3 linked regions of the Diceros bicornis minor genome follow. The protein of the gene in region 1 purifies or fractionates together with the protein of each later gene. This does not show direct contact. Links are inferred from orthologs where the notes say so. Each region holds a gene or a part of one and is shown in the gene's direction. Other genes may lie near its edges.

Region 1 (7,716 bases):
ACTGAATCAAAGAAATCTAAACTACACTTCCAAACTATTTAGAATACAAAGGTAGTGAATAAAACCTGTGGGATGTGGCCTAAACTATAGGCAAGGAAAAATCCGCAGTCTTAAAAACTATTATTATTAATCAAAAAAAGAATAAAAATAAATCATATTCTGTTCTAGAAGTTAGGGCAAAAATATCAAAAATACTAGAAGCCCACGAGAAGGACTGTTGTGCCTCCCTCTGTGGTCTCACATTGGTCACTCAGCCACTTTATGGAGCACCTTAGGGAGCACTTTCAGTGGGCCAGTACCAGGTGCTGGATCGGAGAGGCGAACAGGAGTTCTTCTCCCATGGAGCTTACACTGTGTGTGTGCACGCGTGTGCGTGCACTCAAAAGAGATGGGGGGGATTATCAGATATTTTAAACTATAAATTCAAATTATAAATTTAAAAATTCAATCAGTGTTATGAAGGAGAAGTACAAAGTGCTCTTCGGTATCCCCAGTGTAATATCACTTGGCAGTACCCTCTAGTGTCATTGTCTCCCTACTGTCTTTCTTTGACTCTCCCTCTTTTTCTATGTCTTCTTGTCTTTTTCTGTTTTTCTCTTTCCTCCTCTTGCTCTCTTTCTCTCCCTCCCTCCCTCCCTTTTCCAATTCCCTGAAGACACTATGTTTCAGTTATTTTTGCCTCATCCTGAGCCTAGTGCTCTGCTTGATACAGTGGCACTCAGCGGTGGCTACTGAATGAATGAATCCAGGAGTTTTAAAGAATCCTGTAAGCTATTAGTAAGTAGATGCTCTGTGAGACAACTCGTAGATTACCATTTGACTTATATTTATTAAAAAAAAAAAACAATGTAGAAGAGAACCTAGGAACTACATAATATATAGAGAATACAAAATAACCACAGAATACAGCTTAGACAAGCTAGTAGACTATTTAAGCAGTATTAGGTTAATTGCAATTCTAAGAAGGGTGGTTTGTGTAAGGAAAATCATACCTAACTTAACCTTTAGAATGGATGAGTGAGATATTTGAATAGAAGTGCTTGGGGAAATCAGTAGATACAGTTTACTTTGATTTTTCACAGACTTTTGGTAAGGGCTCACATCCAAGGCCCATGTTGGGTTGGGAATGTGATTGGAGTGTCAAAAGTAGAGCTGGGGTGTATAAGAGAAACAGTGGTAAGAAAAGAGGTGCAAGTAATAGGTAAGGACTAGATCAAGTAGCCTTTGTAGGCTACGGTAAGGACTTGGGATTTTATTGTGTTGCCTTTGGAAGGTTTTGAGAATGTCATCTGATTTATAGCTGTAAAGGATCTGGTCGCTGTGAGGACAGACTATAGCAGAATAAGAGTGGAAGCATGGAGACCAAGTAGAAGGCTGTTGCAGTAGGTGATGGTGGCCTGGACTACAATAATAGCAGTAAAATGATAAGTGCTTAATTCAGAATAAATGTTGAATGTAGAGGAACAGAAATTTACTGATGATTGGCTGTGTGCTGTGAGAAAAAGACAGTCAAGGGTAACTTAAAGGTTTTTGGCTTGAACCACTGGAATGAATACAATTCATACTGGTCTCCCTGCTTTACAGCGTTAGGGGAGGCACTCTTTCATGGAGGTTATCTTTAAAGGGCAGGGAGATTGGTTAGGAGGCTACTGTAATCATTCAGGAAAGATGAAAGAGGCTTGAACCTGAGCAGAGCCTCTAAGTATGGAGAGTCATTCAGAGGGGACAGACTTGAGAGACATTTAGGAAGTAAAAATCACCACTTAGGAAAACAGTTTAGGGTTTTTTACTAAACTTGAAGTAGCTGAATCTTTTTTCCCATTAACTCCACTTATTGGTATATACCCTAGAGCAGGAGTTGCCTGAGGCCTGTTTTTGTATAGTCCTAGAACTAAGCTAAGAATATTTCTTATATTTTTAAAGGATTAAAAAATGGGGGAGATGGGATATGTGACAGAGAACATTTGTGGCCCCCAAAATGTAAAATATTTACTATGTGCTCCTTTATGGTGTAAGTTTGCCAACCCATGCTATAGATCAGTGTTGGTTTTTTTTGTGAGGAAGACTGTCCCTGAGCTAACATCTGTGCCAGTCTTCCCCTACTTTGTATGTGGGACACCACCACAGCATGGCTTGATGCATGGTGTAGGCCCGTGACCAGGATCCGAACCTGCAAAACCTGGGCTGCCGAAGCAAAGCATGCGAACTGAACCACTACGCCACCAGGCCAGCCCAAGATCAGGGTTTTTTTTTTTTGGTGGGGAAGCTTGGCCCTGAGCTAACATCTGTTCCAAAGAGGAAAATATTCCTCTTTTTTTTTTTCCTTTTTTCGTTGAGGAAGATTGTCCCTGTAACATCTGTGCCAGCCTTCCTCGATCTTGTATGTGGGATGCCACCACAGCATGGCTTGATGAGCAGTGTGTAAATCCACACCTGGGATCCGAACTCGTGAACCCCAGGTCGCTGAAGTGGAGCATGCAAACTTAATCACTACATCACCGGGCTGGCCCCTCAGTGGTTTTTATTTATTTATTTTGTGTGTGTGTGTGTGTGTGTGTGAGGAAAATTAGCCCTGAGCTAACATCTGTTGCCAATCCTCCTCTTTTTGCTGAGGAAGACTGGCCCTGGGCTAACATCTGTGCCCATCTTCCTCTACTTTATATGGGACACCGCCACAGCATGGCTTGACAAGCGGTGTGTCGGTGCGCGCCAGGGATCCGAACCCTAGGCTGCCGCAGCGGAGGATGCGCATTTAACTGCTTCGCCACCGGGCCGGTCCCCCCTCAGTGGTTTTTAAAGTGTGGTTCCTAGAGCAGCAGCAGCAGCACCTGGAATCTGTTAGAAATGCAGATTCTCAGGCCTCAACGCTGACTTGCTGAATCAGAGTGGGAGTGGGGTCCAGAAATCCGTGTTTTAACCAGCTCTCCAGGTGATTCTGATGCACGTTAATTTCTGAGAACCACTGCTCTAGAGACTTTTGTACCTGCCCACCAGGAGACATGGTGCGCATAAGAGCCCCAAACTGGAAACAACTGAAATGTCATCAACAGTAGAGGAGATAAATAAGTTGTGGCAATTAACACAATAAGAGTATTTTATAGCTTGTGGTTAACAGCATGGCGTGTGAAGGCAGACTGCTTGTGTTTGAATCCCAGCCCCACCAAACAGTAGCTTGTGACCTTGGGCAAGTTACTTACCTCTCTGAGTCTCAGTTTCCTCATCTGTAAAACAGGCATAAAAATAGTAACGACTTTATAGGGTTATTGTGAGGCTCAAACAATTACATAAGTAAAAGAGTGCCTGGTACATAAGTAACAGATTTAAAGGACAATCTGTATGTAATGTATTATGATGCTTTAAAGAAAAACATGTCAAATTTCATTTCATAAAAGTGATAGCCCATATATTTTGCATATAACAAAATGATTAAGCAACCTAAGGTAAAAACAATGTAAATTTTGGAGGTTCAGATGTTGGCGTTGCCTCTGTAAACCTCAGTTTTCACATGTGAAAAATACCTTAAAATTGCTCCTACAGGATTATGAAGAAAACAAATGAAATGTATATACATATGCCCACACTATGTTTGGTGAATGGGCATTTAATAAATGTGTTCTATTTCCTTTCCTAATTGCCCTTTCACTTCTTTCACCATTTCCTCCCAAAATTCCTCTGCTGTCTTGATATTCTCTGAGAAACATTGCCAGAACTAAGGTGCAAAGTGGCTTCCTTGACTGTAAGGCGATTTGGCTTTTTCCATGAATCAAGGTCAGGAGAGTCAGTGTCTAGTGTCTTCCCAGCTATACCCTGGAGCCAAGCCTGGGCCTAGATCTAGGACAGGGCTGTAATCCCAGTATCTCCTGGGATTTCAGCCTTTTAGCTGCCTTAGTATGTAAAATGCTTAGTATGTATTTAGCAACACCTAAGTACAGAACGGGCAAAGAAATAGACTTTTTCCCTTCTGTGGAGGCCACGTCCTATTTTCTCTACATCCCACGGCCTAGCACCCAGTAGGCCCTGTAATATATATTATTTTGAGCTGTTAGGATGAATTTGACCTTCTCGGTGGAACTTAAAACATCCATATCCTAGGACGGGTTAATAAACAATTATAGATGAGTTTAGGGTGCAAACAGCTGAAACCACTGGCTGCATTTTATGCTTGTCTACAGCAGCAACCTGCAGACGCCTAGTTCAGAAAGAAAATTACTAAATTCTCTCCCTCATCACATTAATAATCAAAAGGAACCAGAAATATCGGTCTCCAAAAGACAGCGCAGCAGCGAACCGGCTCCTGTTCACGCGCGATCTCGAGAGCGGCGAGGCAGGAGCAGTAGAAAGGCAGCCCCCTTGTGACGTCAAATCAGCGGACTCTCGCCCCGGCTTGAGGCCGGTTCCGGTTCCCCGACTTTCCGGGCGCGAGAGTACGTGAGCGCGGCGGCGTTCTGCGCGTGCTTCGCAGAGGGACGCGAGAAGGTTGGGTCCAGCTCGCGAAGGAGATGTGTGATTGGCTGAAGCCGTGCTGGGGGGTTCCCCAGGCCTTTCGGCAGGGGTAAAACAATAAGAGGGGGCGGTGGAAAAGGGGGCGGGACGTCCGTGTTCCTTGTCGCTCGCCGCAGCGTCTGGCCCCCGGGAAGAGGTGGTTGTAAGGGAAGCGAGCTCGCGGCTTTCCGGCTTCCGAGGCTTGAGGTTTGGCGGACGGGGGAGGCGGCAAGCGAGAAGAATCCGCGGCAGCCGGTCCTCGGCGACTCTCCTGCTGATCTCGGCGCCGACGTACCCCCTCCCACTGTTGGTTGGAGGTGTGTACGGGGGCCGGGAAGGGAGGTCGGTGTGGTGGTCGGAAGGGGACATTCCCTTCGCGCGCCGCGGCTCGAGGCAACCGTCCCGTGAGCCCTGCTGTCAGAGGTGTTGCGGCAGAGCGAGACATTGTTCTTGCCGGCTGCCTACGCTGCCGTGTGTGCTTGAGAGAAGCCGAGCCGTTCCTCTCAGGTGAAGGATGGGAGGCCGCGTGGGAAGGGAAGCGGCCGGCCCGCGTTGTGCGGACGGAGGGCCCTGAGGGCACAGGTGGGGCCGGGGTCTGTTGGGGATGAGGTGGCGAGCTGGGAAGGGGGACGCAGCGGCTCCCAAAGGCGCGCTGATGCAGGCTTAATGTGGGACGTGCGGAGTGGGTTTTCTGGAGAGGATGTTTTAGGGTGTGGAGCCCACCAGCCTTCTTTCCGACTCATTTGCGTCTCTTATTGCCGGTTCCCTGGGAGCGGAGAGGCCGTCGCCGCCCCGCCCGTGGGGGAGGGGACAAGAGGCTGTGTCGGCGGAGGCAGAAGCGACGCAGATGCGAAAGTAGCGGCCTCCGGGCACCATTTCTGTGCACCGAAACAGAATCCGGGTTTGAAGGTAGTCGCCGCTCTGGTTATCCAGTATCTAGTGGTCCGTGGTCTTCGACTCCCCTCGGGTTTATCCCGAACGTGCTCAGAGATCCGAATTACATATAACGTAACGCCTTCTTCGTGCCCTTTTTATGCAAACGTTCCCTTATTGACCCAGGAATCGAAAAGATGTTTGAGTGCTTTGGGAAATGGGTTTTTTTGTTTCCCTCTTTCTCCACTTTTTTGGGGGGGAACAGAAAGGATGGTCAAGAGGAGGAATATACGCTTCCCTGAATTGTGTTGATTTTATTAGTCGAATATGATGGAATTTTACCTGCTTCTCTATAAGCAGATTTCCTAAGATGTCCCTGTGCCGCTTTGGAGCAAATATAGATTTGCATCAACCATTTTCCGCATAGATCAGTTTTTTTCCTCTAAGGTATATCTAGTTTTCTTAACAGGTTTCTTTTTTTTTTGGAAGGGAGGTGCCGTGCCTTTGCTCTCTTTAAAACAAAACAACAACAAAACCCACGTGCACCAAAGCTGGAATAATAGCAAAGTTGTTTCCTCTTTCCCCCCCCATATGATTGTTGTGATATTAACTTCAGTTAAAATGCTGGTTTTTTAGGTTCAGGGCTCCACAATTCGTGCTAGTCGTCCAAATGTTAGCATTGCGTGTACCTGGATCTGTGAACCATTAACGGCAGTTAGGAAGCCCCGTATGCTGGAGGGGAAGAAGATAGGAATTCCTTGTTCAGCTCCATATTTGGCAGTTCATATAGCTTTAGGCGTGTGAACGAAGTTTCAAAGTAAACATTTGGCCCTGTTAGTATTCAGTGGTCCTTTTGATATCCAAAATTCCTGGTGTTAAAAAATGGACCGTAGGATTAGTTTGAACTTCTTGGAACTGAATTTTGTTGTTTCTTTGGTGATATTATTTTCTTAAATTTTTAGGATTAGTCATGTGTATCCTTGTGTTATTTAATCTCTAGAGGCTGTTTAATTTTGAAAGGTTATTAAGGAATTGTAGGGAGGATGAGGACCTCCAGTGGATTGCGTACTATCTAAGAGCTGTTATGGTTCAGGTTGTTGAATATTTGAGGTTGAAGTATTGGTCAATGAAGAACAAGTATTGAGAGTGAAGAGAACCAGAATGCTTGTGGGGTGGATGGGGATCAGAAGTACAGAAGGAAGGAGAAAAAAATAAGTCTTGAATAGTTTGATAGTCGAATTGAGTATTTAGTTAGCAGCTGAGCAGTTGATTTGTCAAAAGACAACTCTTGATTTTGAATAGTATCGGCACTGTTGGTAGCAGGAATTTCACTTGAGAGGTCAAAAATGAAAATTTCGATATCAGTTACTGGAAATCTATAAGTACTAATAGTGCCTTTAGTTTTTTAACAGCTTCCTTATGCTGCAGAATTATTGCTGTTGATTAACCATTATCAGGATTGAAAATTCTTTCATAGGTTGCTTTAAATAAGATTTTTTACCGCATTTTTTGCTGAGTGGGTATGGAGGTGGGGAATGACCCTTTTTTAAGGCTGGTTTTGAGAGGTACAAACTTAAGGGTTGTTTCTGAACTTAAATTCAGTAGAATTTAATTGACAAACATAACTTAGTTAATCTCCCTGTGGAAACTTAAGAGCTGATAAAACAAATTGGTTCCTTTCCCAGAACTCTGGACTGGCTTCAGAAGCAGTAGAATCAGTTTCTTGATTGCTGCCTCAGCTTATTTTTATCTTTTAATTTCTGGAGATTTTACCCTATTTTGATATACCATGGTAGCTATGTTGGATTGTAGTATGGATTGTGGTATTGTAGTATGACTCTCTTGGATTCCCTGTTACATTCCTGTTCTGTGCTTTTGGCTCCTCCCAACAGTATCAGTATGCTTACAGTTGGACTTTAAAGTTTTTTTGTATTTCTGTGTCCCTGGCTATTCTTCCAAAGCAGTTGTTCTTAACCAGGTGTAGTGAAAACATCACTAGAGGCAGGAGACCTGATTTCAAACCCTCTCTCTCATAACTATAACTGGGGGACCTCGAACTCCTTTCCTTAGGCTCTCTAAACATTGGTTTCATTTTCTGTAAATGAAGCTAATAACTTACCTATTTCAGGGAGATAAAGGAATGTGTAGGTTACTTGTTAAACTTTAAAGCATAATATAAATACATGCTTTTATTTTTGTGGGACAGCATTTCCGTGTCTTAATGCTTGGTCACTTTTAATAGCTTCTAGACTTCAAAACTTGCCTCCTTACCTTTGGGGCTTGAGAAAAGATAAGGCTTAATTCACAACTAACATTTATCATTTATTTCTACCACTGTTTTTTTTTTTTTTTTTCTGGTGA
Region 2 (7,783 bases), on another chromosome or scaffold:
CATGTTCATGTATATTTAAAAATCAATACATCAACAACATGGGTAAATCTCACAAACATAATGTTGAATGAGAGAAGTCAGACAGAAGAATACATACTGTATGAAGGTCTTTTGTATAAAGGTCAAAACAGGCAAAGCTAGTATATGGGTTAGAAGTCAGGATAGTGGTTACTCTTGGGAAAGATAGTGACTGGTAAAGGAGGATGAGGGGGCTCCTGAAGTGCCGGAAACATTCTGCTTCTTGATCTGGGTGTTGGTTACACAGGGTTGTTCGGTTTAGGAAAATTCATCCAGCTATACATTTTCTGTATGTATACTTCAATAAAAAGTTTTAAAAAATGCCTCAAAGGCATAGGGTACAGGCTTGTTGTCTGGTCACCTGGCAAGGGGCACTGGCCTTGCTGATCCAATCTCTGAGGACACATAAATGGACCTGGGCAGGGCCTCAGGCTTCAGCCATTGTGGCAGGGACGCATTTGGTCCAGGCTTGTGGTTTGTACCAACGACCAACACTTGGGACCTAATAGCCAGGAGCAAACCCCAGCAATGATGTTTGACCTGGGGAGGCTCAGGGAAGTCTGGATGGAGGGCACCCTACTTAATTCAGCAGCATTGCCTCAGGTTTACCTTAATGAGGACAACTTAGTGGGAAGACGTGGAGGTATTAGCCAGGCTTCCCCAGCAAGCCCCTTCCAGACCCTTCTGAGTCTACTCCTCATCCCTGGAAGGGGCTTATTGGCTGATGATGAAAATTCATGTCTTGAAATTTCTTCTTGAGTTGTCCCATTGTCAGAAATAAAAGAGGCTGACATCTGTGCCTCACAAACATTATAGTATCCCAGCCATCCTGCCTGACCTTCGGAACACGAAACATTCTGACCTTTCCCAGTCACAGGAAAATTCAGCCCTGGCAGGAGAACAGTGACAATCCCCCCTCACTGATACCTCTCATTGTTACTTGGCCAGTAGCCAGAATCCACATCTAACATGAACTGGGAAGCAAAAAGCAAAGCAAGAGGAAAAAACAAAAGAATTACACTCAGAGGAAATTGCTAATTTACATCATTATAAACCCGGGGAATATCCGCAGGAGAGTGGGTTTTGAGTGTGCCTGACCAAGGAGAGCAAAGCATAATTTGGGGCAGGGCCGCATTTATTGCTATGGATGTAGACTGGTAGTATTCAAAGTGTGGTCCACAGACTGGTGCCGCTTCATGGACTGTCTCTTTCAAGTCCAAGATGAGTTTAGAATTTGAGAGTAAGCATTTAAAAACTCCTCCAGCATTTGTCAGAGTACTTTTATATACGTTGATTATACCAAAAAATGTGGGATTGTAATTTTTATATTTTTTAGATTTCGTTTTTCAAGGAATTCATTTTTAGTGTATTTTATAACATTATTGATCTGTGATAGATTGAAAATAATCAAGACTGGTCCTTCCCCACGGATTGTTTGAGAAGCACTGGGGTAAATAACAGAGGTTTTGTTCACTGACTTGAACAGGCAGCTGATAGTTGCCTAGCTGATAGAACAGATAGTTTTTGTTTGGTTTGGTTTTTTATGAGTAATGCAAATCCTGATTTTATGCTGGCCCATCAAATATTCCTGAAAGGCCAAATATCTTCTAACATAATGTGCAAGCAAGAATTTAAAGACTCCAGGGGACACAGATACTGTATTGGATCAATCAGGTATATCCCACCCATGTACTATTTCACCTTATAGGTTCCAGAAAAGTCTCCCTTCACTAGGGCTTGAGGAATAAAGTATACTGCAAGGGATAGAATTTTTATAAAGCTCTTCATTGGCTAGTCCCTCTATGCCAAGTATGTAGATAAAGGTGCCGCAGTCGAAATGGGCTCCCTGATCTTGGGAAGTGGGGTTAAGCTGACCCTAAGGGAAAACAGTGTACCTCCAGAAGTAAAATGATTTTTCACAAATGGCAGCAGGGTGGCCATGATCATCAAATCTCTGAAGATACCTCATCATGCACAGATATCTGACTTTTTAAATTAATCATGGGGTCCCCAGAATGAAATTATAAGCAATTGCGGCACACTTGTATTCCTACCACCACACTCCCTTGCTGCTTTAACCATAGTGGCTAGAAGAGATACTCACTTTACCAGCCTCACTCACTTTACCAGCCTCCTTTGCAGCAGTCATGTGACACAATTCTGGCCAATGAGAAATCTATTGGGTACTTGTAGAAAGGTTTCTGCTTTTCCTGATAAAAGAGACAGAGACAGTTGGCAGCCATCTTGCACTCATAAGGGAAATGTCAAGAGAATCAGAGAGAGGCCAATCCAGATCTCTAACATTGTTCCCTAACCAACTACCAACTTTCTGATTTCTTGTTATGGAAAAGAAAATAGATCCCTATTGTTTATGCCATTGTTAACTGAGTTTTCTTTTACTTGCAGCCAAAAGCATTATGAACTGATCTGGAAACCCATAAGGACTTATTTGATTTACATTTGGTTGAATCATATGAAATTGGTATCTTTTGTAGGTCAAAATGATTGACTATCAGCAATTTCACATCATTCAACCTAAATAACTAAGAACACTCTAGGTCTGTAGATGTGTGTCAGTTAGTATTGTGAAAATTAATAAAGGGAAACCTCATTTAAAATGGAGTCTGGAAGCCAGAAGGGGGAGTTCTCATGCAGTACCATTCAAGGTCAAGTACAAGTACAGGCAAGAATCTCAATTACAGACCCCAACAGAAAGAAGTCTAACAGAAAAAATCATCAATCACAGACCTCTACCCAAAGAAATAAACATTTCATCCCAAACGGAAATCGACTACGGAGCAACTCAGCCAATGAGAAACCATCATCACTCTGAACTTTTGTTTTTCTCTAATGGACTTGCATTCAAAACAGCCCCTCCTAATTTCCTCCTTTTTCCTTATAAAATAATGTTCCTCTTCTTTGATTGTTGGCCTTGCCTATGGCTTTTGCTATAGCTTGCTTGTCCCAACTTGCAATACTTTGCTGTTCCTGAAAAAAACCATTTTGCTGGTAAAATAACTGGCTGTTTTATCTTTTAGTTTAGCGGTATGCTTTTGACAGCAAATAACAGAACTCTTAATGCATTAGGGAAGGAAATCTATTAGCTCATGTAAGGAAAGTGCTGAAATAGGCATCCAGAGGCTCCACAATGTCCTCAAAGTCTCGGGTTCTTCCCAGGCCTCTCTTCTCCCCTCTGCAATGTGAGCTTCATTCTCAGGCTGCTCCCTTCAGGAGCACCACCAGCAACAATGAGGGCTGCATGCTTCCTTGCCCACTTCCAGCAGGAGAAAAGGAGTTTCTGCTCAGCATTCTGGACAAGAATCCTAAAATTCCCACTAACTGGCCCACTTAATTCACATGCTTATCCCCGAACCAGTGACCATGATCCTGGCATAAAAGGTGCTGACTGTTGTAAATCAGACAGGGTCCACTCCTGGACCTGGGATGGAGTCAGCTTCCCTCTGAGACCCAAAACTTGAGGTGCTTTCAGGAAGTAGGAATCGCTGGGAGAATGGACGCTGGGTAGGGAACCACAGTGTCCACCACAATAGGTCTCCCATCAAGTTAGGGATTTGGGGCCGGTAGCAACAGAAACCGACAACACAGAACAGGCAGACAGGTGGTTGCCCTAAAGCAAAGTTAGGGTGTTATTATTCAAAGTAATAGGAAGGATACTGGACAGGCAATACTTGCAAATATCCACTAGTTATTTCATAGAACGTCTCAAAATGTATTTATTTAACCCAATAATAAAATTTGGGCTCGGAAAGAGCAGAGAAGAAGGGAGCGTGGCAGGAAGGAGAAAAGTGACAGTCGGTCCAAACACTGCGGCCTTGGTCAGGGGACCTGCAGAGAAAGGACCGCTGACGGAAAATTCCTACTAGGAAAGTGAGTGAAAGACTTTACAGAACAAAATATTAATGACACAAGAATAAACATACCTTCAAACAAACAATGTAACAGAATACAGAGTCCAGAAATAGATCCAACTATCTACGACGACAATATATCAAGGGTAGCATTTAAATTCCGCTGGGAATGATGTCGTTTGTTTAACAAATGGTGCTGGCATAACTGGCTCTCCATCTGGCAGAAAACAAAGTTAGACCCTAGATCATACATACACAAGGATAGATTCCAGATATATTAAAATTCAAAAAATTTTTTGAAAGATATGAGAATATTTGATCGTGGGATAAGGGAAACTTTTCTAATCCGGAACATGAGCTGGCTGCGGCTCGCATTTCGTCTCTTCCATTGGGGCCCCGCGGGCTACGTCATGGGACATCCAGCCAATGAGGATTGGACATGGGCGGCCCGCTCAGCCAATGGGACCAGGGCGGGAGATTTGAAAGGAACTCGGCAGGGGCGCGGCTGGGCAGGGCGAGTCGTTTGCCAGCGGCCAGGAGAGTGGCTGTGCCACGGGCTCCAGGTGAGCTGCCCTCCTTTCGCAGGCCTTGCGCCGGGAGAGGGCAGGTGATCAGGCAGGTCGGGGGTCCGTTGGGCGGGCCCGCGCACTCCGCCGGCTGCTGGGCGCTCAAGGGTGGAGAGAGGGTCCTGGAAGGGGCTGGGCCGGTAGCAGGGCGGGGGCGGCCAGGCGAGCGCCCGGGTGCGCCCTGATGTGGCCAGCGTGTAGACTTGCTCCCTTTCACCAGCCCCAGGCAAGCGCTTCCGACTAGATGGGTCCGACCCCTCCCTCTCTCGCTCCCTTTTTTCTGCTTCTCACGGTTCTGTTCCTTTCTCTGCCCAGCTCTCCTCCCCGCTTCCCTCTAAGGATGGCCCAGAAGGAGAACGCCTACCCCTGGCCCTACGGCAGGCAGACGGTAAGGGCATGCCCACTTCCGCTCCCCCCAAACCGGCATGGCGAGTTCCTACTTCCAGATTCGAGGTCCTGCAGAGGGCGATCCTCCAAGCACTTTCTTCTCGGTTATGCTCCAACGTATGGGCCCCAAAAGTTTGCTGGCCGAACCCAGTCTGGGCAATTGCAGCCACATCCTGTCAGGTGCTGCCAACTCGAATCTGACCAGCCTGTGAGGACCCCTGCAGGGCTGAGCCTACTTGTCATATACAAATGATATCTGGGAGAGAGCAGGCAGGGTCTGGCCTTCAGGCCATGATTCCCAACCTTTGTCCTGAAAAAAATAGGCTAGGCAGGACATAGAAATAGACTCGTGAAGGATTGAGATAAACTTATAAGTTTAACAGGTTCAAGACAAGTCTAAATAATTTGGAATTTATTTTAATGACTGGTGTGAGTTAAGGATCTAAATTGATTTCTTTTCCAGTTGTCCCAACACCTTTCATTGAAGAGTCTACCCTCTGATTTGAAATGCTACCTTTTTTATATATATTAGATTCCCACATATATGTGGGTCTGTTTCTGGACTCTATTTTGTTCAACTTGCTTATTTGTAAATTCTGTTCTAATACCACTCTTTGGGAACAGGTTTGAAGGGGCACTGAGGCTTTCTTCCCCTCTTGGCTAAAGAAGAAAGAAGGGGCCCTGCACAGGCTTTGCTCCCTGTTGGTGGGGCTTAGATCTCCCGTAGCATCCGTCTGTCGCTGTGTCCACCAGTTCCCTCCCTTGTGGAGCACTGAGTGAGGCTATCAAGAGTGGAGGCTGAATGAGAAACCATTGTCACTTCTACCTCGGTCACTCCCAAAAGGAAGTTATGTATATTACTCAGAAGTTGAATGTGAGAAGTGGTCCAAGGCCATCACAGTAGCCTTCAGCGTCCCTAAAGCCTGATGTTGCAAAGGGGTACATACTGATATTTGCTGCAACATTCAAGGCCTCAAGGACCCTGTGTAAGCCTTAATAGACTGAGCTTTTTAGGGGCTATGAGAATGCCTCTGTGCTTTAGCACCTTGAATTGTGGGTGTTCATTACCCCAGCCCTCTGCAGCCCCCAGGGGTGGGGGCTGGGTAAATGAGTGGTGTTGCAGACAGGACTACAGAGGTTGGACAGCTTCATGCCTGAGAATGTGGTGTGGGCCAGGGCCAAAGAGGTGAAATGTTCAGTGTTGCGTTAAGTCCTTTGCTCTTTATCTTGGGCCAACTTATGTTGTTTATTAAGAACCCATTTTAATATGGGGCTCTGAGCAGAGTCTTGGGGCTGAGTAGCAAAATTGTTGTCTCAGTGTTCCTCTTTGAGGTGGGGATGGGTGGGTGGGTGGCTCTATAGAAAGCACTGAAATGCTGCTTGCAGCACATTCCAACCCGGCCGCTGAGACAAAGACACCCTCAGAGCTCCCTCCTGCTCCTTCTCAGGCTCAGTCTGGCCTGAACACCCTGCCCCAGAGAGTCCTCCGGAAGGAGCCTGTCACCCCATCTGCACTTGTCCTCATGAGCCGCTCCAATGCCCAGCCCACAGGTAACTGCAACAGCGGGGAGGGGATTGACTTGAGAGGACTAGAGTCTACGGGGAGGGTGCAGGGATGAAAATGTCAAGGGAGGGCCTCAACTTAACTGTTCTTTCCAAGCTGCCCTTGGCCAGAAGGTGGTGGAGAACAGCAGTGGGACGCCCAACTTGTTAATGTAAGTGCCCAAGCCTTGGGGCGGCAAGAGAAGAGGGAGACAGTGAACAGGTAGGAGATGAGGGAGGGAGAAGCTAAGGGCAGGAGGTGTGGGGGCGGGGGCAAGAAAGCCTGATCCATTCTCAACTTCCTTCAAAGAGAAATGGAGCTGAAGGGCAGGGGGAAAGCAAACACCTCAGGCAACCCACAAACCAGTGCTCAGCTGCCTTCCCCCCACTCTCTAATCAGGCGGTCCTTCACGATTGATGACTTTGAGATTGGGCGTCCTCTGGGCAAAGGCAAGTTTGGAAATGTGTACTTGGCTCGGGAGAAGAAGAGCCATTTCATCGTGGCACTCAAGGTCCTCTTCAAGTCTCAGATAGAGAAGGAGGGCGTGGAACACCAGCTGCGCAGGGAGATCGAAATCCAGGCCCATCTGCAGTACGGGCCAACGCCCTCTGAGCCCAAGCCCCCTGCTCCCTCCCCCCAGCTCTTTCAACCCCACCACATCTAGAGTTTTCCCTATAGCTGTGGCCATTTAGCACCATTGAGCTCTCAATCCAGAGAGCTGTCTCCACGTCCCCCTTGCCAGGGCCAGCCCTCGTGTCCCCGGCCTGGCCCACGTCTGACCCCAGTTTGCCCCATATGAGACCTGTCATCTTTCCCATTTCCTTATGCCAGGATGCAGCCTCAGCCCTCCTGTCTCTTCTCCCAGGCATCCCAACATCTTGCGTCTCTACAATTATTTCTACGACCGGCGAAGGATCTACTTGATTCTGGAGTATGCCCCCCGGGGGGAGCTCTACAAGGAGCTGCAGAAGAGCCGCACTTTTGACGAGCAGCGAACAGCCACGGTCGGGGCGGGTGGGCACCTGGAGCGCCGGCAGGGGGCCTGAGGCTAGGGGTACGCTGCTTGCAGCTAGAGGTCCATCCTTGTCTAATCGCCTGTCATTGGCCCTCCCAGATCATGGAGGAGCTGGCAGATGCTCTGATCTACTGCCACGGGAAGAAGGTGATTCACAGGGACATAAAGCCAGAGAATCTGCTCTTGGGGCTCCAGGGAGAGCTGAAGATTGCGGACTTTGGCTGGTCGGTGCACGCGCCCTCCCTGAGGTACGGTGGGACAGGAGGCCAGCCATGGGTATGAGGCTGGGACATTCAAAATAAAACCACTCCACATGTTGTTACCCAGAGACATTTGGGTCTGGCCTCATGTAAACATAGACACAGCAATATCTTTACAAAATAAG
Region 3 (7,088 bases), on another chromosome or scaffold:
TCTCACTGTCAACCTGGCAGAGAGGCAGTGAATGGAATTCAGATGCAAGGTCCCCTCTTTAGCTACAAATATACTCAATGTTAGCTTATTGGGTGATTCAAGTTGAAGCAGCTGAACTCTTTTGCCAACATGATCAGGATAAGAAGTTCAATTACTCACTCACTTGACTGTGGAGACTTAGAGTGCTGTGGTCTAATGAGTTAAACAAGCAAACGTCAGCTTGGGAGATCTGTGTTATTAAAACACGTTAAGGGGCCAGACCCCTGGCTTAGCGGTTAAGCGCTTGCGCTCCACTACTGGCGGCCCGGGTTCGGATACAGACGCGCACCGACGCACCGCTTCTCCGGCCATGCTGAGGCCACGTCCCATGTACAGCAACTAGAAGGATGTGCGACTATGACATACAACTATCTACTGGGGCTTTGGGGGAAAAAAAAAAGGAGGAGGATTGGCAATAGATGTTAGCTCAGAGCCAGTCCTCCTCAGCAAAAAGAGGAGGATTAGCACGGATGTTAGCTCAGGGCTGATCTTCCTCTCCTCCCCCCCCCCAAAAAAAAACAACACGTTAACATTGGGGATAACTTTAAAACCAAGGTTTTTGGAGAAAGTGTTTTTCATTTATAGATGTACTCTGCTCTCCTATTGGTTTTGTAGGAAAACCCTTTAATTTTCCTATTTCTTCAGTGATACAATGACCTGAAGCTACTGCATGGGTTTGGATTATGAAAAAAGGTAAAAAAAAAAATGATTACAGTAAAGTATTAAAAAATTCACATAAACATAGCTTCAGTCCCCTTTTTGTCAGACAGGAAATAGACAAATTTGGTTTGCTGGGACCATGGCATTGGGCTGGGCAGAAAGTCAGACTAAAGACACTACTTTGCCTTAAACTGATTAGTCTTCCTGGTCTTGCTGACCTGATCACACAACTGCAAGAACGTCAGAACACCAAGGAAACCAGATGGGATGACATATTGTAGGAAGTGAGAGCCCAACAGCTATGTATGTTCACCAAATGTTTCCGGTTCACCTAGCTTCCTACTAGGCATCTGATAGGACAGCATCTCTTGGTTGGCTGGGATCATGTGACTCTTTCCGGCCAATGAGGTGTGAGTGCACATGATGCAATTCTACCTGTTTGAAGTATTTAATCGACTACTTGAGATACTCCCCAGTTCTCTTTCCTTATGGTAATCATCAACACTTGAGATATGGTTTCTCCATCAGCCTGAATCTACTTAGTGACTACTCTGAGCAGAGCCCTCAGATGGATGGATGTGTATCATTTGTTGTTTTAAGCCAGGGATTGGCAAACCTCTTCTGTAAAGTGTGTAATAGTATTTTAGGTTTTTCACACTATACCATCTCTGTCACAACTACTCAACTCTGCTCTGCTGTGGCACGAAAGCGGCCATGGAAAATACGTACATTAATGGATACGGCTGTGTCCCCAAAACTTGATTTACAAAAACAGATGGAGGGCTACTCAGCCCCGAGACTCTGGTCTGCAGATCCCTGTTTGAAGTCACAGCGCTCTCAGGACTGTTACTGCAACATAACCTAGCGTGTCTTGACACACTGTGGGCTGTGAGACGGACTTCCGACTGAGGATCTTTGTCATCCGTGTTGTCAGCTACCACGTTCCCTCAATAATCTTTCTTTTTTCCTTGAAGAAAAGCCTAACTTAGCTTTATGCTTTGGTAACTGCTACTGTGTAACGAGTCAAGGAAAGGCAGAAGAGGCCTCTCCTTCTCACACCTTATCACAAGCCCTCTTCAGCTCAAACTTTAATTATAAGAGGTCTCCAAGTCATTGGTTCTCATACTTCAGCGTGCATCAGAATCACCTGGAGGACGTGTTAAAACACAGATTGCTGGGCCCCACCCCCGGAGTTTCTGATTCTGCAGGTCTGGGGAAAATTTGCTTAGTAGAGTATTTCATGTCTGGTCTTAAGCACATTGGTCAAGTTCTAAGGAATAAAGCAGAGATTGTTGTTCAAACTTCAACGTGCATACAAATCAGCTGAGGCTCTTGTTAAAATGCAGTAGGTCTGGGGTGGGGCCTGAGATTCTGAAAGTGACAGTAGTCAGGCTGAGTACACTAAGACCTGCAAGGAATTAAAGGATTCTAATCCTCCTTTCTAGCCTCTAGGCTTAGCAGAGTGTCTAGCGCAGCACTAAACACAGTTCAGGTGCTTCCATCTTGAATAATCTTAGGTCAGCTTTGACTTCTCACTCACCTAACACACAACTGCTAAGCAAATCCTGTTGGTTCTACTACCATAATGTGTAAAGCAACCAACCACCTGTCCCCACCTTTGCTGTGAACACCCTGACCTTGGCCACCACCATCTCTGGGCTGCATTATTTCAACAGCCTCCTAACTGGGCCCCAGCTCCTGCTCTTCTCCACCCTTCCTCTCATCTCTAACACACACTACAGTAAATTCTCTACATTGCAGCAAGAGGCTTTCTTTAACACAGGTTGATCATGTGACTCCTCTGCTAAAGCTATGCACGCTGTGACTGCCCATTTCACTCAGCAGAAGCCCAAGGCCCTACAGCCACCTACCAGGCCTTACAAGGCCAGCCCCCTTTCACGTCTCTGACCTCAGCTCCTATTCTTTGCTCTAGCCTCTGCGGCCTCCTCGATGTTCCTTAAACCCACCAAGCGCACTCCCATCTCAGTTCCTCGCACCTGGTGTTCCTTCCACCTGGAAAATTCTCCCTCCAAGATACCTGCTTGGTCTTCTCACTTCCGTCAGTCTCGGCTTACATGTCCTCAGTAAGCCTTTTCCTGACCACCCCGTCTGTTCTCTCTACCACTTGACTATCTGACACGTACCTACTTATCTTCTCCCCACTTAGAATGTGAGCTTTATGAAGACAGAGGTGTTTGTTTTGTTCACAGTCCCTGGCACTAAAGAGCTCCTAAGACATAGTAAGGGGCTCAAGGAATCTTCGAATGAATCGATAACCGACTTTGCAGCTAACCGGACTGTCCTGAGGCCGGAGACCGCTGCTGTTTCTCCAGGCTCCCTCAGGGTACACTGCTGCCAACCAGTATTACTCATTTTCTTCCCCAAGGAACAGCGGGTTTAGTATCATCCTTTTCGAAATCCCCTTTTCACGGAGTTTCAATTGTAAATCCCTCATTTACTGTTGTCATACAACATTATGCCGCTGAGTTTTCCGCTAACGACTCCCTTTAATACATTTCCTTCCAGCACTTGGTTCATTTTCTGTCCACACCCACCCCGCCCCTAGGTTAATTATAAGGCTCGAATAATTCTCTTGGAGCAAAAGAAATTTTCTTTTGTATTTTATTCAACATTCTCTTAAAAGTTTTAGGAAAATCTAAAACAAAAGGAAAGAAAACCCTAATCCGTAATCCTCAGGCCTCTTGGATAAATGTCATCTTACGGTAGCTGAAGATTACTTTTAACACGAGTCGGGAGGTTTAAGACTTTCAAAATGCCACCTATCTTGCTCCTTCCAAGGCGTTCGACAGGGAGCTCCCAGGTGAGTGTCCGCGGGGAAGCGGCGAGCGGGCGCTCTGCACCGGCCCCTGTGCAGGGCGGGAGGCCACCTGACCGCAGCCAGAAGGCATTCTAGAAGCGGGGTTCGCACCAGCGCCTCGCGCACCACTCACCGGCGGGGACCTTTGCCCCCACCCCCGCCCCCACCACGTAAGGACCCTTCTCGGGGCAGCCGCCAGCTCCACAGCCAGCCGCTTGACACCTATTGTCCCCGTTTGGACGTCAAGCGACTTCGCCTGAAGGACCCTCACTTCGATTCCGCTCACAGCTCCAGACCCCACTCCTGCAGCCTCCCCGGGGCCCCCCGCGGCAGGGCCCGGGCCGGGGCGGCGGCCGGGCAGGGGCAGCCGGGCCGGGCCGGGCCGGGCCGCGCCGCGCCTCCCCGCAGGCGTTCGCGCCGGGCAGCCCGCGCCCGCGAGGGCCCCTGCGCTCCCCGCCCTCCGCGCCGAGGCTGGCGGCGAGCTCCCTCCCGCTCGACTCTGCGCCTCACTGGCAGGGGCTCTCGGTGCAGCGGGCACAGCGCGACGCGGCCTGCGCCCACGGAGCGCGCGACACTGCCCGGAACGCAGCGCCACGCCCGCCCCCTCGGGACCGCCAGCGGCCTCCGCGCGCGCACGGTGAGCGCCGGCCGGCCGAGGCGCCCGCGGGGCGGGGGCCGCCGCCGGGTCCCTTCCCGGCGGGGGCTCGCCCCTCACGTCTCCCTGCCCCCGTCAGCCCAGTGCCCCTCCCCCGCCGCGCCCCTCCCCCGCCGCCCCTGCGTCCCTCCCCGGACGGCGGCGAGCGTCGGCCCCGCCGGGGGACCGTTGCGCTGGCCGTTGGCGGCCGGCGGCGAGGCCCCGCCCCGCGCGGGTCCCGGTGCCGGGGGGTGGCCGGGCGGGGGCGCGCGGCCGCGTCCCTTCCTGCCCCCGCGGCGCCGTCCCCGCCCCCAGCGCGCAGCCGCCCTCCGCCGCGCGTTTTGTCCCGCGTCTCGCCCCGTCCGCCGCCTGACCGGCCTCTCGTCCTTCCTCCCGCTCTTTCTCGTCTCCCTCGCCGTCTGAAGATGCCCTCGGCCACCAGCCACAGCGGCAGCGGCAGCAGGTCGTCCGGGCCGCCCCCGGCGGGCTCCTCCGGCAGCGAGGCGGCGGCGGGGGCCGGGGCCACGGCGCCGGCCGCCCAGCACCCCGCGAGCGGCACGGGCGCCGTGCAGACGGAGGCCATGAAGCAGATCCTCGGCGTGATCGACAAGAAGCTGCGGAACCTGGAGAAGAAGAAGGTGCGGGAGGGGTGGGCCGGGCGGCTCTCCCGTCCCCGGAAAGCGGGCCCCGGGGCGGCGCTGTCAGCTGCCCGGCCGCGGCGCTGCCCGGGCCTCCGTTCCTCCTCCTGCCGGGGCGGCCTTCGGGTCGGGGAGTGGGCTGTGCGGGGCCGGGGCGGCAGGGGGCCGCGGGCTCGGGCTCGGCGCTGCCTCGTGGAGCCGGGCTGACCGCGCCGCTCCCGTGCGCTCGAGGCCTGCCCGCTCCTCTCTCTTGGGAGACGGGCGGACGTGTTCAGGGTCCCAAACCAGAGCCGCTTCCCCCATCGGGCCCTTTTGGGGCGTCTTCGATCTGCTCCCCGCCCCCATCCGAGGGGCGCCCCTGCGTGTTCCTCTTTGTTCCAATTGTCTAGGTGCCCCCGAGCCGCGCGCTCGGCCCGGCCCCGAGAAGCGTGTCTGCAGCGGCCTTTTGTCCCCGGGACTCTGGAGAGGGCCGGGGGGCGACGGGGACGACTGGGGAGGTGCGGCGGTGCGGGGACGGAGGGGCGCCGGCCCGGGCACATGGAGCGCGGCTAACATGGCGGCGGCGGGGAGAGGGAAGCTCGCGGAGCCGCATTGTGAGCACAAAGCGAAAGCGGGGGAGGGCAGGCCGGGCAGCGCCCCTCCGAAGCCGACCACGCCCGCAATCTTGCCGTTCAGTATCTGGCCCTTCCAGGTCGCACCGGGGGGTCTGTCTGCAAGTCGGCCTTTTGTTGTGTGCTCTCCGCGCAGCACAGGGTACCGACTCTGTGTAGGGGGACACGTGTGTGCGTGTGCGCGTGTGTGCACGTATGGGGAAAGGGTCTCGGCAGAGGGAATAATTCAGCCTTCAGTAAGATTGGGGTGGAAAGGAAAAAACAAATCACCAGCATAGCATCTTTAATTTTGAGGAAATCATTTAAAAATGTTTACAGTGTTTAGCCAGCCACCTAATAGTGGTACTTAAAACGTTGAGATAGTAACTGTTAGGCTGAAATTTCGACTGTGGGAAATAACTTGACGAAAACTGATGACATTTAGGCCTTAATTATCTTAATTGTTTGTTTAATGATTTATTTTACATTTTGGGGGAGTTTAAAATCATAAACATTTTTAGATTTGTTACTTCTCTGTCTCCTTCTGTATTGGGAATTTTATTTGAATTTCTTGGACTTTTTGAAATTGAGAGATGCACTAATCGTGGGTTTCTACTTTTTGCTTATCTTTTATTTTGAAGAACAAGTGTGGTTTATTATAAATGATTGAAGTTATAGATTTATCAACATCGACCAAGCAACAAAAGTATTTTAATTATAAAGTAGCTATATTCAAGTATGTAACAGAATAAACATGCCCCAAGGCTAGTATCTTCTGGTTCTGTGTCTGCCATCTGTTTTAGTTTTTGCCACTCTATTTGAAATTGAGGCTTAGGTATCTTTAAAACCTCTTAATGCAGTAAACAATCCTGTCAATCTGGCTGATGCCTGAATGGTTTAATTTTCAGAATTCCTAGGAATCTGTTTTCTTCGAGGATGGGAATCAGAAGATGTAATTAATTAATTAATGATATATTTTACACAGAGTCATTTTAGTATACATATTTATATTTTAATCACTGAAAAGTATTTCTTTCAAAGGCATTAATATAAAGTCAGGCACTGAGTAGCAGCCAGCTTAGTTGTGAGGTGATTATTAGATTCTAGTGTTCAAGTGTATTTGAAAAGAATAGAAATCTAGTTTATAAGTCCCTTGAGGGCCTGAACCATGATGGGTCTCTCCTGTCTATAGGTTTGTACTGCTGTACGTTGCCTAGTTGTGTCCATCCCCCGCCCCCCCATCATTATAAAGGAGAAAGTAATGTAATTATTATTACAGAGATTATAGACTAGGCTAGTAAGTACTGAAAAATTCCCTTGTAATGATGGACATTTTACAAAATAACAAATGTATTTCATATCATCTTTTCTGTCGGTGTTTTGGGTGCTAGATAGTAAAGTGGAAAGGTCAAATTACAGTTACTTGAGGCTTTTTGATAACTCACAGACTGAGCTACATACTCGTTAAATAGTTATGTTGCCAGTACTGATGTTGTGACTTAATTACTATTAAAACAAACTATGTTTTGAGAAACTCAAGGGCGTTTGAATTTTTCTCTAAGCACATCTGGCTTCTAGTTTAAATTGAAATTTTCTTTATAGCTGGATAATTTACTGTATGAAAAGATTTAACTGATTCATTTTTCAGTAGTGAATGAGCATTTCTAATACATCTAAAATAGGATTTACTTACAAGTCAGTTTTGAACC

What was found. Proteins that work in one complex are often made in the same cells at the same time.
Region 2: the proteins of G3BP2 (region 1) and AURKB purify together in Homo sapiens (affinity purification with mass spectrometry; 3 studies listed by BioGRID and IntAct, with this or other methods). This does not show direct contact. The link is inferred for Diceros bicornis minor from reciprocal best matches to the Homo sapiens genes G3BP2 and AURKB.
Region 3: the proteins of G3BP2 (region 1) and CAPRIN1 purify together in Homo sapiens (affinity purification with mass spectrometry; 5 studies listed by BioGRID and IntAct, with this or other methods). This does not show direct contact. The link is inferred for Diceros bicornis minor from reciprocal best matches to the Homo sapiens genes G3BP2 and CAPRIN1.

The regions. Positions count from the first base shown.
Region 1 is NC_080747.1:61,142,355-61,150,070, reverse strand, and holds the start of G3BP2 (ras GTPase-activating protein-binding protein 2), read left to right. Parts: upstream 1-4,716; 5' UTR 4,717-4,799; intron 4,800-7,716.
Region 2 is NC_080757.1:10,205,472-10,213,254, forward strand, and holds the start of AURKB (aurora kinase B), read left to right. Parts: upstream 1-4,777; 5' UTR 4,778-4,793; coding exon of another isoform or gene 4,794-4,841; intron 4,842-5,464; 5' UTR 5,465-5,766; coding exon 5,767-5,779; intron 5,780-6,226; exon of another isoform or gene 6,227-6,288; coding exon 6,289-6,391; intron 6,392-6,500; coding exon 6,501-6,605; intron 6,606-6,782; coding exon 6,783-6,974; intron 6,975-7,248; coding exon 7,249-7,387; coding exon of another isoform or gene 7,388-7,397; intron 7,398-7,497; coding exon 7,498-7,646; intron 7,647-7,783. UniProt on the Homo sapiens protein: Serine/threonine-protein kinase component of the chromosomal passenger complex (CPC), a complex that acts as a key regulator of mitosis.
Region 3 is NC_080770.1:34,299,830-34,306,917, reverse strand, and holds the start of CAPRIN1 (caprin-1), read left to right. Parts: upstream 1-4,082; 5' UTR 4,083-4,154; intron 4,155-4,576; coding exon 4,577-4,789; intron 4,790-7,088. UniProt on the Homo sapiens protein: mRNA-binding protein that acts as a regulator of mRNAs transport, translation and/or stability, and which is involved in neurogenesis, synaptic plasticity in neurons and cell proliferation and migration in multiple cell types.